Schizosaccharomyces pombe: one gene and its partner. Changing the gene in region 1 together with any one later gene gives a genetic interaction. Each region holds a gene or a part of one and is shown on either strand. Other genes may lie near its edges.

The links.
Region 2: mutations in xan1 (region 1) and ppx1 together harm fitness more than expected from each alone (negative genetic interaction), as found in Schizosaccharomyces pombe (one large-scale study listed by BioGRID).

Annotation. Positions count from the first base shown.
Region 1 is NC_003421.2:2,076,891-2,085,261, forward strand, and holds xan1 (alpha-ketoglutarate-dependent xanthine dioxygenase Xan1), read right to left. Parts: upstream 3,773-8,371; coding exon 2,531-3,772; downstream 1-2,530. Other genes in the region: SPOM_SPCPB1C11.03 (cysteine transporter), read left to right, coding at 193-1,905; SPOM_SPCC576.19C (uncharacterized protein), read right to left, coding at 4,357-4,716; SPOM_SPCC576.02 (hydantoin racemase family protein), read left to right, coding at 5,757-6,467; thioredoxin peroxidase Tpx1, read right to left, coding at 8,146-8,371. UniProt on the Schizosaccharomyces pombe protein: Alpha-ketoglutarate-dependent xanthine dioxygenase is a non-heme mononuclear Fe(2+) enzyme that decarboxylates alpha-ketoglutarate to succinate and CO(2) while hydroxylating xanthine to generate uric acid. Allows xanthine utilization as a nitrogen source.
Region 2 is NC_003424.3:3,944,555-3,950,824, forward strand, and holds ppx1 (exopolyphosphatase), read left to right. Parts: upstream 1-2,000; 5' UTR 2,001-2,023; coding exon 2,024-2,141; exon of another isoform or gene 2,142-2,183; coding exon 2,184-3,220; 3' UTR 3,221-3,375; downstream 3,376-6,270. Other genes in the region: GARP complex subunit Vps54, read left to right, coding at 1-1,489; plp1 (thioredoxin domain-containing protein), read right to left, coding at 3,376-3,687, 3,729-3,804, 3,853-3,939, 3,984-4,136, 4,181-4,392; qtr2 (queuine tRNA-ribosyltransferase accessory subunit Qtrtd1/Qtr2), read right to left, coding at 4,503-5,367, 5,443-5,624; splicing-associated factor Saf2, read right to left, coding at 5,966-6,270.

The sequences.
Region 1 (8,371 bases):
ATTTCATCTGCTAGGTCGTTGTTTCATACTTGAAAAACATTATCGTCCCTTGAGCTTTTTATTTACTTCTCGATTGAAGTTGAAAAAAAATTTTTTTTTTTTTTTTTGGTCTGTGAAATAAATCAGTTTCATTTTTTTTTATTGAGAATTATTTGATTTTCTTATTTTATACATTTCAATTCGTTTGCTGAAATGACCGAGTCTATCATCTCATCTCGTACTGCATCGATTTCCTCGAAAGAGGGTTACGAAATAAGACAGGGCTCCACCGACTCGAGTTCTCTTGATTTGGAGAAAAAGGAAAATGCCGTTGATACTACAATTGCTAAACCCTTTGACTCTGATGAGGATATCGCCGACGTGGAAAAAGCTGGTGGGAAAAAAATAAACAATTCTTTGATCGATGAAACTTTTGCTTTTATGCAAGATGCCAAGAAGTTGGATCCCTTGACCCCTAAACAAGAGAGTAAACTTAAGTGGAAACTGTACATTTATTTGTTGCTAATGTTGGGTTTTTTGGATATGATGCTTTTCATTGGTAAGGCGACACTTAGCTATTCAACTATTCTGGGTCTTTTTGATGATGTACACATCACCTCCAATCAATACAATAATTTGAATACTCTGTTTTATGTCGGCTATATCGTAGGTCAATTTCCCGGTCACTACATCATGCAAACTTTTCCTCTTGGAAAATTTGTCGGCCTTGTCACCTTTTCTTGGAGTGTAATCGTTTTTTTGCATTGTTGCGCCTATAATTACGGAGGTCTTATTGCCCTTCGATTTTTCCTTGGCTTTACTGAGTCTTGCTTACTACCAGCTATGGAGGCTACTATGGGCATGTTTTTTACTCATCAAGAACAGGCATTTCTGCAGCCTGTATTTTGGATCTCATGTCTAAGCTGCGGTATTCCTGCTGGTTTTATTGCCTATGGCCTTGAGTTTGTCACGAAAAGCATTGCACCCTGGAAGCTCTTTATGATCATTACCGGTGGTATTACATTCTTCTTAAGTATTTTCCTTTTCTTCTACTATCCAGACAATCCATCAAAGGCCAGATTTTTAACTGACGAGGAAAAATTGTATACCATTGATCGTGTACGCAAGTCCACTAGGGGTGGAATTGAAAACAAGATTTTCAAGAAGCACCAATTTATAGAAGCGCTGAAAGATCCAATTACTTGGCTATTTACTTTTGCCGCCTTCACACTCATGCTCTCTAACAACTTGGCTTATCAACAAAATCTTATTTTTACAAGTTTAAACGTCTCAGACCTCAATTCTACTTTAGTTGGCGTTGCTCTTGCTGGATATAATACTGTGAGCGCTATTATTGCTACTTTTGCCATGTATCTTATTCCAAATCAAAGTGCATACCATGCTATGTTTTGGATGCTGCCCAGTATTACTGGAGGTATTGCTTTCGTAGCCCTGCCTTGGTCCAACAGAATTGGAGAGTTGGCTACTATGATTATTGCATCCGATTTTGGTATCACATACATCATTGCTTTAGGATGGACCACTGCTACATCCACTGGCTATACGAAAAAACTGACTCGTGGTTTGATGTTTATGGTTGGATATGCCATTGCCAACATCATTTCACCTCAGCTATGGCAAAGCCGTGATGCACCTAGATATTATCCGGCGTGGATTGTGCAAATCGTAGTTGCATGGTTTGTCACACCCATAATTTACCTGGTAGCACGAGTGATTTTGGCAAGACGCAATAAGCAGAGAAAGGAATTGAAAGATAAGAAAATTGCGGAAGGCAGTCTGGAAACCATAGAAAAGACTTATGTTGACACAGTGGATGAATTCGGCAATCCCGTCAAAGTACTGATTGATAATTCTATGTTGGATTTAACTGACATGGAAAACTTAAACTTTGTTTATCCTCTTTAAAGGAAAAAGAGAAATGAATACTGTATTTTTAGTTGTCATTTTTGTTTTATTCTTTATTACGTTGGAACGATTATTTTACGAGCTCTCGTTTTTTCCCATCTCAAGCGCGATGCGATTATTTAGGATGCATACACTCTTTTTTTGTTATTTTTAATAGATAGTTGATCTGAAATAGACATTTAATAAAACATTTAAAGGGTACAAATACTGATGATTTTTTATCTTAATTCTACTTTCGCACACGCAATTTGGTAGTTTCGCTTGCCGTTTTATTAAAGGAATATTGTATGATAAGACTAGAAAACATAGCTTGAAGATTCACAAAAAGTTATTTTATAAGTTGTCTGTTAGTCGAATGGATCAAAAGTTGTTTATTATAAACTGGACTAAAATTATAGAATAATAGAAACAGTAACAAAAACAATATATTTTTTGTAAAACTATGCACTAACACTTACTGAAAAGAAATTGATGAAAACTATTGACATTTTGCAATTAATAAAAAAAATCATTAGAAGCTAAGCTATACATAATACTAAAAGGAAAATGAAAAAGAATTAAAGAAATAAAAATTGCATATTAACAAGAAAGGGGAGGGGGGACGAAAGTTGAGCTCAATAGGACTTTACATGGCAGCAATGTCTTCTTCAGAAGGCCCGGCAGGAGGATGAGAGGCAGCAAGGTTGCATTGGTGGAAAATACGAGTCTGATCATCTCTGTAAGCACCAGTGATACAATGAGTAACACCGCGGTTATGGAAAATAACAAAGTCACCATTTTTCCAATCGTGACAATAAACACGTTCAGGGTTGATGCCAGGGCGTTGATAATTATACAAGATTTCACGAACTTTAGGAAGATCATCGATCACAGTGGTGGTGCCATCTTCGTTGTCGATTAGGATTTTCTCAGCACAGCATCCGTGAGTCTGCAAGGCAAGCTTTCCGGTTACAGGATTTTTCCAAAGAAGAGGGAATGTTTTAACCCTGCTCTCCTCCCAAGGAGGTAATTCAGACTTGTCAAGCTCAAGTCCCTCAGAATACATACCCAAACCATTGGGAAGGGCTCTAGCTTTATTGATTGTAACGTAGGCATGAGGGAAATATTGAACGCGAGTACGAGCAGCCACCTTCTTTTCCTCGTCAGTGAGCAATTCGTACATGCGATAGCCTGAGGCGAAAGCTGTCGAACCTAATGGAACAGGCATCTCATGGCCAGACTTATCATCATATCGAAGAGTTTGGGTGCCTTGTGGAGCATTAACGGCGAGAAGGGTAGTGACTACAGGAGGGTTATAGTCATAAAGGGCAGCATCGATATGCCAACGATAAAAACGGGTGACTTGTTTTTCTTTTTCTTCCTCCTCAGAAATGGGATCACGATGGAAAGTTCGATGATGAGGATGTTTAAGTCGGACCTCTTCAAGACCGTAATGATCCTTCACAACACCATGACCAATGAGTTGTACTTGAGGAACACCGGGAAGGGTGTGCAAATCGGGATGTAAGATGCTGTTGTTTTGCTGATTTGTACGATTGCCGTGACCATAGGTAGAAGACTCGGGATCAAAGCGATGGGTGATAGCGTACTGAGTCTCTGGGGGTAAATTGTGTTGATTGGGGAAACAAACCACTTGATGTTCGAAAAGAGCCTTACGGATATCTTCGAATTGTTCATCCGAGAGGTTATTCAAGTCAACATTTTCGATCAAAGCACCAAATCCAACATCAGTATTGTGTTCCGGCAATGGAACAGGGGAAACACGAAGACCTTGAGAAGTGGTATAAGCAGTAAATGGTGGCTCGGTAGCACCAGTCAAAGTGGTGGTAGGAGGTTCCACAACCGTAGTAGTAGCAGTGGCAGACATGATTGAACGAAGAATTTAAAGAAAAGTTGGTAAGAAACAAGATGGGTTCTCTTACGAAACGAGTAATAAAGGAGGATTGAAAAAAAAATATGAGAAAAAAGGTATTCTTGATAACCTTAAAAACGTTTAAACTAGTAGAGTTCAACTTTGGACAAGTAGAGGAGCAAAAGTCGAAAATTCACAACAATCGTTTCGTTTATTGATAACAATGGCGTAGAGTGGTTTTCGAATGTTTGTTTCTTTTCGAAAATCTATAACAATGGATTATAGCAACACACGATGGGTATTGGCTGTTCAAAACGAAATTAAACTAAGATTTGAAAGGAAATTTACACAAGTCAATAATGCACAATGCTATCGGAGCAAGTAAACAAGCTGGGACAGCGAGAAAAGTTACGAATATTTAGTTGTTTTTACGGAGAGTAGCAGTAATTGAAGACTTTACGTAGATGTTGTATCACCCAGGTATTATTATGAACTTCAATTCAAATCAATTGTAGCAGAAGCACAAGACGAACAATGGTCAGTGTGATTCTCTTCAGTGAGTTTTTCTTTTGATTTGATGAGACAACATGGTATTCACATCAACCTTTTATACCATGGAACCTCCAATCCTCATTACTCCTGGGCCATGTAATTTTGCTCATTATCACTTCTACCGCATACCTCTCTATCAACATAGATAAGATTGCTGAAATTACATTGAGTAGGAAATGTACGCTAAGTGAGTTTGCCGATGCTCTAAATTCGAGTGAGCGGCATGGCAAAAACAAGCATTTGCCAACCTTCGGTATATCGGACTGAGCACCACTGAGTAAGACTGAGCTGCTACGAAACGGAGAATACATGTTGTTAAACAATTCTAATGAAATGTAAAGAAACCATCGATTTGGCGTCTGCACATCAAGTCTTGTTTGGTAAAGGTCATTGGAAGAAGTAGGCATCGATAGGGGGAATACCCAAGTCGCACCCGTCCGTCTAGGTGATGACTTAAATTGAGGTTTGAGGGGAATTCATTAAGACAATCGGCGGAAATTTCTTGACCAGAAGACTAAGCACCGATGTTCTGGAGTGCGATTTTTAGTGGGACAGGGTGCGAGTTGGAACGGGCTTCGGACTCGAGTTTGCAAGTGTAGAACGAGTGGGAAAGAATCGGTAAAAGAGTAAAGTGGGAGATAGTGCATATAGAAGATTTAACGTTTTGCAGGTAAATGAGAATATTTCAATTACATAATCCTAACAGCGCTAGTAGTAAGTCTGGTGGTTAGTGGTGCTTGTGCTTTGCTTGACCAACATTCCAAAGGCAGCTCAAGTATAGCATAGCAATCCAACATTGTCCTACAAACTTTTCAATCACCTATACTATCAGTACCATCGTTGCTGCTACTCACTGACGCTGTTTACTAGTCATCAGTCTCATCTCCTCTTCGGGTCCGACTGTGTTCATTATCAGAGTGCACATTGAACAACTTGGAAACGGAGTTTCCAAGTTTACTCAAACAACCCCTTACACTTGATTTGCGTCTTATCAATTCTGTAGACAATTTCAATTGCAGTCTACAGCAGCTTGAAACAGCATTTTTAGTCATCAACCTTGAAATAGATTGTCTAGTCGAGTCTAGTCTACTAAGAGTAAATAAGCAAAAACCAAACAAACGATCAAATCTATTTTAGTCATTACTTGTTAAAAATATTTTTCGTTTTTCAAGCCATTTTGTTGGAAACTCGATTTTCTACACTTTATAATAAATTGTGACACTGGTTTTTCAATTTTAGTTTTTGACAAACAGTTTAGAAAAAAGGTTTATTTTCCAATAAACTGTATTATTTTTTGTGTCTCTGTAAATTCAGCTTCAACATTCTCTTTTACTTTTTTTTTTTCTACTATTTCCCCTTTGCTTGCTCTTTTTCTTACTATTTTCTCTTCGCTTTCTCTTCTCTACCTTCTTTCTCTTCGTCTCTTACCTTTCTATTTTCTCTCATCATGCCTACCATTCTCGTCATCAATCCAAACTCTTCCACCTTCATCACAACATCCATGGAAGAAAAACTCGTTCCCCTAGTGCCTTCAGATGTAAAGTTGCGCTTTCTAACTTGTCCTCAACCCGGTGCTGCTGTCATCGACTCCATCACAGAGGCAACCTTGACAGCTGCTCTAGTCTTCCAAGCCCTAACTCCTAGTGTCTTGGATGGTGTCGATGCTATAGCTGTTGCCTGTTATTCCCCCACTCCTCTAGTCGACATGATTCGTGAGTCATTTGCTTTACCCTGCATGGGCATTGTGCAAGCGTCTGTCCTCAGTGCCTTATCGGTTGGTCAGCGCATCGGCATCCTTACAAGTACATATCGTTCCGAATGTTTGCTTTACGAATTACTCGATTCTTTTGGTGTTTCGCGCACTCGAGTGGCCGCCATTGCTTCTACAGGTCGCACAGTTTTGCAACTTTCGCAAATGCCTTCACAAGAGCGTGAAACCCTTCTTGTCCAAAAGGCCCAAGAACTGGCAAACACAAAGGGTGCAGATGTCATTTGTTTAGGTGGTGCTGCTTTAGCAGCTATTCGTGATCAGATTCAGGTTGCCGTAGGTCCCAATATTCCCATCATTGATGGTGTACATGCGGCTGTTGAGTTACTTGCTGGCCTAGCTCGTCAAAATCTTCATACATCAAAGTTTGGCATCTATACGTATCCATAAAGAGATGTCCATATGTTTTTAGATCTAGCAAACCAGTTTGATGCTGCTATATCACATACACACACATAATAATGTGTACGACAAAGGTTGATATTCCTGGATACGTATACATTTTCTCTTGATTTATATCAATAATTACATACCTATCTATAACGTGATAATTACAACCATTACCTCTTGATACATTCTTTTCTGTCATTGTTTACAAAGCGTATTGACACATTGGTTTCATAAGAATAACTTTTCACTGTATGCCCAGTGTGTTGGATACAAGCAGATTTACAAACATCCTTTTAAAAAATCATTTTGGGAAGCAGTCAATCTCGTTTATACTGTTGTATTTCTTTACATTCGCCTTTTTCCAGTCTTCTTCAGTTTAGAAACATTGGAAGGCTGTGAATGAGCTATATGGTACGAGGCAAAGTAAAATATTATTTTACTAATAATAAAAAATAAAATGCGACTACAATTAAAATTTCTATTTTATGTATCTCTATCCATTTATATTGACTTGAATGAACTGAAAACCTATTCTTCTTTATATCTCGAAAATTCTCGTTATGTCAGCAATACTACACTACGCTATGCTACACTACGTTGCGTATCACTATATGTCATATGTTGGAATACTAGCTAAGATCCGTTTATTGATAATCACGGGTAACTATCCTTCTATATACATAGATACCCGTTGATACAAGTATTTAGAAATATTATAAATAGCGTTACAACTGAACCTCGTTCCTCAGTTCAGTTATGAGCTATATTAGTGATAGGTAACATTATAACCCAGTTAATACAATACCTATACTCAGTTGCTACTTATACAACCTGTGTATTGTAATATAATAGACCACAAGGAAAACTCACCGCAGTTCTACGTATCCTTAAATCAGATACCAAACTGCGTAGCTTACATGTTATCGCAACGAGCGTAACTCGTTTAACTCCCTTTGGGCCTGATAAGGAAGATGCGGGTGAAGGGAGTGAAATCCACGGACTAACCTTCTTTTAACCACCGAAGTCTACCCCAGATAATCTGAGGTAGCAAGTCACTTGGTATGTCAGTGCGTGTCGGTGCGTTACAAAACGATAGACGCAAAGCAAAACAATGAGAGGATTTAATTTTTTTAGGTTCCATTTTCTTGGTATAAACTAAAACATAGGTTGCCTTTTTCTTTTGTTTTGAATTGTCGTCATGTTGTCAAAAGGCATAATAATACAAACGAGTTCAATAAAACACAATGTAATCACTCAAATCATTATAACCAGTTCATCCATATACTTAAAGTTGACTTCAAATAACTTTATACAGTATTTATAATTATAAATAGTTATATAACTTACGAGCAGCATCCCACACATTTGTAGCTTTAAACAAATGTATACGATGCATTAAAAAAGTCGTTTCTGAAAATATCATTAATTAATGAGAAAAATAAGCACATTAGCAGACGTCCCAATTAAATAATTTCCTTTTAGCAGATCCGCACTCTGCTAATTTACGCAATCCACCCTTGCCTCACGAGACATTACGATGGTATAGTATGATACACACACAGTTACTACCTCAAACTTTGAGAATATAGGCAAAAAAGGAGATTCATAAACTAATCTAAAAAGATACGAGACAAATCGTGTTTGACTCTCGTTGACTACACTTGCTCAGAAAATTGATCTAGTGCTTGGAAAAGTACTTCTCGGGGTTTTTGGTGTCAATGGTATCGGAACCCTTGTGCCAGTTGGCAGGGCAAACCTCACCGTGCTCCTCAACGAATTGGAAGGCATCGAGAAGACGGAGAGCCTCGTCGACAGAACGGCCAACGGGGAGATCATTGATGGTGATTTGACGCAAAACACCCTTGGGGTCGATCAAGAAAAGACCACGGAAAGCAACACCGGCA
Region 2 (6,270 bases), on another chromosome or scaffold:
ATTTGAAAATTTAGCACAACAGTATTTTACCGATGGTGTAGAGATGCGCAGTGTTCGTAAATCCTCTGATTTACGTCGCAGCTTGAGTGCAGCCAGCCTTTCTAGTCTTTCAGATAGCTCTAGAAGAAGTTCATCAGCGGCGAATCCTTTTCAGAGCATGAGCATCACGGAATTTGCAGAAATGTTGACGAATATATATTTTTCATCATTGGAATGTCTGCGTCGCATTCGCAGCCAAATAAAAGTTTTAATAGATATTTTATCGAAAAAAGATACTAAACAATATCACCTATCTGTGATTCTTAATGATTTAATGGCCACGAGTTCCGATGTTGTTACACAACAAGTGACAACTATTAATAATCTTCGATTTCGAGTCTTGGATACTTATCCTCCTAATAATGTTATATACCTTTTTTCTTTACACATAATTTTTCATAATGAGCTTGAAAGTCTTTGCGGAATCACACAAAGCTCATTTATTCCAACTATAATGAGGCAATTACTGGACTGGTTTAAAAATTTTCAACGATATTCTACTCAGAAATTGGCATCAAGCTTTGAAAGGGAGCTATGGGAAGCGATACCTGTTGAACCATCCTGTCAAGATCTAGCTAATCGCGTGTTTGAATGCTCCGGTAATACTCCCGTAGAATGGACGCGACTATTATCTCCTGAAGCAGAAAAAGAAGATGAAAATCATAGGGTTCACCATGTAAAAGTTTCAGAGGACTGTACTGCTACGGTTTCGTTTGGAAAACAATCATTACATATTGTTCGGTCCTCTGTTACGTTGTTAGAAACATTGGATGATTATGGTAAACTTCTTGCTCACTTTTCAAGATTGGCTCCAGAGTTTCAGACTGGTATGCTAGATATGTTTCGTACACTCAATTCTCGGGTTTATCAATTAATATTGGGAGCGGGGACAGTGCGGTCGTCTGGCCTTAGTAAAGTACTTGGGAAGCATATTGCACTTGCCTCTCAAACTATCGCATTGTTTCAATTATCCCTTAATTCAATGTGCAGGTACTTGTCAAGAGTAACAGGAACTCGACTCACCAATGAAACTAATAAGTTGGATCAAGATTTCACCGTTCATCACTTACAAATTCATGATAAGTTTGTTAGTCTCATGAGGGAACGAGTTGCTATCAGTTGTTCCCAGATTGCTTCTCTTTCGTGGGATATTGACAGTCCTCATGGATACATTATTGATCTTTCAAAAAGTCTTATAAAGCTCTACAAAGTTTTACATCGCTACTCACAACGTGACTGTGTAGAAGTAATACCAGATGTAATTCGGATGTTCGAAGATAGACTGCAGTTGGAACTTACGGATATTGCAAGAAATCCATCCAAATGGCCAGGCGTTCGTATTGATTTGTCCTATTTTTATGACATGATGGCATCTAAATGCGGATATGCAGGAGACCGGACTTTATTGGAAAAATTTGAACGTACTCCGGAACAGCAGGAAGCGGCTTAAACATTTGTTTCGTCGTTTTTTGTAATCTATTTTAGTTCTTTTCTTGACAGGTATTTTGGTTATCTGCTTTTGTGCTCGAGTTACCGTCATATTCTTTGGAATTTTACATTTTGGTTTAACAATTTACTAACCTGAATGAATTCTAAGAATCCAAAAATTTTGTTGCAAGTTATGAACCAAGCAGCTTCTCTATAAAATTCTCCATTCTATCGATAGTTCTAGTATTCACAATGACGAATACAAATTCACTTATGACTACTAATCGGCCAGTTTTGATTTAGAGTATTACTCATTTAATTCGGAAATCTCATGGGAGCGTAATGTTTTCGACCGATTTAATTTCTTTTCATCTTCTCTCATTTATTATTGTTTTTATCACCTTTATTCAATTCCTTATGAAAATACTCATAATTGATTTAAGTGTATCAGTCAAATTCCTTGCTATATTGAGTAACTTGTTACTTTGGTAGTAATAGATTAGATATATTGGCTTGCACCTAAAGCCTGAAGTAACCTTTTCAATCTTTTGGTACAATGAAATTAGGCAGATTTTTAGAAAACGGAAGGGAGCAAATACGAAATCTCCTCTTAAATGCTTCGACTGTATCGTCTGCCCCGTCTTTTAGCTTTGTTAGTGGAAATGAATCAGCAGGTACATTAGTCGTAATAGACGAGAATTAACAATTCGTCTTAGATCTTGACAGTTGCGCTAGTTCAATCGTATATGCGTATTGCCTGCAAAGAAAACAGCTGGGTAGGATTGTAGTACCTTTTTTTAACATTCCTCGAAAGGAGCTACGTCTTAGGCCTGAACTGTCTTATTTGTTGAACTTAGCATCAATATCTTCCGATGATATTGTCTTTTTAGATGATATTGTAAAATTACCAAAAAGAATATTCAGTAATCCTATTTATTTAGTTGATCACAATTCTTTGGACCGTAAAGACCTAGAAAATTTCAACGGCAGTATCGCTGGTATTATAGATCACCACAAAGATGAAGGGGGATCCTTACATGCTGATCCAAGAATCATTGAGGAATGCGGTAGCTGCTGTACTTTAGTTTGCCGATATTTTATGCCTGTCATTAGATCTCTATATGATTCCAAAGTATCTGAACTTCACCAAACAGCAACCAACCTTGCTGTTTTGGCACTTGGCCCTATTTTAATTGATACTGGAAATTTAAAAAATGAAAAGACTACTGATACCGATGTTAAAATAGTAAATGACTTATGCTCATTTGTGCCAAAAGATTGGGTTCGAGATGAGTTTTTTGATACTCTGAAAGAGAAAAAGAAGAGCTGTAAGGGTTTTTCTTTTGATGATCTACTACGCAGGGATTTAAAACAGTATTTTCCGGACGGAATAGTCGTCAATTATGCCAGTGTTGGAAAGGGATTAGATTGGATCAAGAAAAAACGTCTCGGATGGGAAGATGAATTGAAAAGTTTTGCCGAAGTGCAAAATTCTGATTTGGTAATTGTTGGGTTATCTCTGAGTAAGAACGACGAGTTTGGTCGTCAATTGATTTTATACAAGCGTACTGAAAGGGGAGCTGGTCTTGCCGATTCTTTCTTAAAACTTAGCAAACAAAATTTAGGATTAGAAATTATTGAAGAGAAAGATAATGGCGACCTCAGTATGTGGAATCAAAGAAATTCCGCTGCTAGCAGAAAGAAAGTAGTTCCCTTACTTATGGACTCAGTTAAACAAGTCGCTTCAAAATAGTTACTGCTTTAGACTCCATTGTGATTTCTGTTCTGTACATTTTACGATAGCTACACTCATCAGTAGGCTTATGATAGATTTTAAATTTTTTTAAAAGGATATATATTATACATCACATTGATCTAAATTTCTTACTTTGTAATCCCAAGATCCTTTTATTCAAAAAAATCACTGTCATCTGATTGATTATTTTGTAGTTCATCGTGGTAAATAGACTTGTTTGAAGAACTCTCTTCTTTTAATCGGTCGATTGCTGAACTCTTGAGCAACCGAAATTCTAGGAGTGAAGTTTCAAAATCATCTTTATTACCTAAATCAGCAAATCCGATAATCTTATCCACGAGCTGAGAATTTACGTAGCAAAGTACGGCTGGTAATACTTTGAGACCCAATTTGACTACCAAAAATGGAGCGTTGGCTGCTTCAATACGGATAAACTTAGTTTCCCAATGTACTTTGGCAATTTTCTGAGAATGTTAGCGTAAGCAATAAATGGAACTCCTCGTACCTCTAGATGAGAGTCTATAATTTTGCAACGTATAAAATCAGGGTGGTAAAAATGTATAACAACTTTTTTTGATGAACTAAAAAATAATTAGTTTAAAATAATCGAAGCTAATGTTTTGACATACAGCGTAAAATCCATAACTTCGCGCTCATTTTCTACAGTAAGAAACTGCATGTGTCCTTTTTCTTTTGCAGCTTCCACTCTAGCGAATCTGAACGGTTAAATTCTTAAAATCATTTTAAAGCTTTTTCTTACTCTTTTTTTAGCATCTCCAATCTCTGTTCTCGATAAGCAGTATCATCAAATTCATCCAACTGTGAAAAGAGCGCATCTTCCAATTCTGAATCACTTTCGGTTGCAGCTTGAGTAGCATACGTATCAGCGTAAAGATCAACTGTTGGGTCGTTACTAATGTCAACATTAGACATAATATGTACGCTACTGTAACCTACCTATTATGCAGTTCTGGTTCATTGTAATCCTGAGTATCCTCCTTTCTTTCAGTAACCTTCAAAGCTTCATACTCGTTGGCGATTTCCTTTTCCAAAGGAGATTTCATAGAAATCCAAGCAGGCTTGTTTTCTACAGGCTGAACGTTTGTCAAATCCATTTGATAACCACGTTTACGCGGCCCAAATCCATGGGATGCTGGAAAAGATGTCATATAAATTTCTTCAAATTTTCTAACATCTTCATCAAAGTTTCCCTCTTGTATGGAGGCGCGGATTCCTTGAAAAAAGGCAGTGAAGGCATAAACATTGTGTCTACAAATCGTTAGCTTTCTTTACCATGCTCTTTAATATAAACATACAGCTGTAAAAGTATCCAAGCAACTAGCTCTCTAGCCTGTAACAGATGCCTAACATAAGCGCGTTTGTATCTACGACATGTTTTGCAAACGCAGCCGGATTGCAATGGTTCCATGTCAGTAGCAAACCTTTCGTCCCACATATCCAAGCCAAGTTCAATTTTAGAATTCAACACATCTTTAGAAGGAGGCGGGAAAGAGAATGTAAGTGCAACACCAGCATCAGTAGCTTGTGTTATCATATCTGGAACAATAATGTCAATTCCTCTTTGAATGCATTTCAGAATTTCGAGTGGTGATTCAAATTTTTGAATACTCAGTCTTGGGAGACCAACCAAATCAGCTGGTAATGGATTGACATTGTTAGAAAATGCCAAGCCAGCAATGTTGTTAGCAAGTTGATTTTCTTGAAAAAACTGGAAAATAGGCGTAAGGTACTGAGTGTCCAGATCAGGAACAGGGAAAAATACTTTAGTAGTATTGAAAGCGTCCGTCGCTTTGAGTGCTAAAAGCAACTCAGTTGTCCAATTGACAGACCGTTCCACAATTTTTGGCTTCCTTTTGACACCAGGAGGACTAGTTGGGGTATCATTTAAAGGAATTACTAATTCAGGACAAAGCTTTAGGACAGCTTTAATATACAAGTCATTTGTCAGTTTCTTTGCACCACTTGCAGTAACGATATTAATATGACTTTGTCCTGCAGAAACAGATGGCAAAGGAGATGTTCTTCTTGGAGCAAGTAAAGTAGGTTGGACAGAGGGTGCTGCGATCCATTTTTTGATAGTTCCCTCATTAGTCAAGATTGGTGAGGCTTCCAGACGATCCAAGCTACAAACATATTAGTTAGAAATTCAAATTAAAAAAGATATGATAAAGCATTTGAGTCCTAAATTTAAACCTTACCAATCCTCCAACCCTACATAGAGAGCAGGAATATCGAATTCTTCAACATTGTCAGGTGTCAAATGAGGAACAGTTCCTCTGGAAGTAGGAAGGAAAAAGCAAGGAGTCTTCAGAACCTTGTTCTTCACCGTAACTGAAGATACGCGAGCCCCTGAAGGACTAGATAATGAAGAAATTGCCATCAATAAATCGCAAAATAAAGCTGCAAAAGTTTTGCTCTATTTACACATGTACGATATCAAAATAACGATGGTTCACTGTAGCACATTAAACGAATATTGCTATATGAATGTTTTTTAAATTTGAAAGATATTCAAACACAAAAGGTCGTCTAAACATTCGATTTATAATGTTGTAAAATAGCTTTGTTTGGATATCAGTAGTCTTACAAAACTGAAAGTTTTTAGTTAAGTAAAAAAAAAAATATCATTACATAAATTATAGTAAATTGTTTAGACTTTTTTTAAAGTTTTAAAGTAATAATAAAACATGCAAACAAGAAAGAAACAATGGAATAAAAACATTAATAACGGATAATTTTGCGACGGCGGAAGTCCTTTTCATCTGAAGCGATGTCATATAACGCTCTTCGTTTCATTTCTTTTTTCTCTTTTGTTCTTCGTTTCATTTGCTCCATCTCTTTCCTGGTATATCGCTTGTTTCTCCGTTCTGCCAGTAAACTTTGGCCATTGTGACTATTCAATGAAGAATTGATGTCAAAGTACTGTTCCATATGCTTATGTGCTTTGTTTTCTTCACTTCGCAACTCTGGTGAAGCCCATTTTGGCATAAACTTTCCAGATAGGCGATTGAACTGAACTTTCGCTG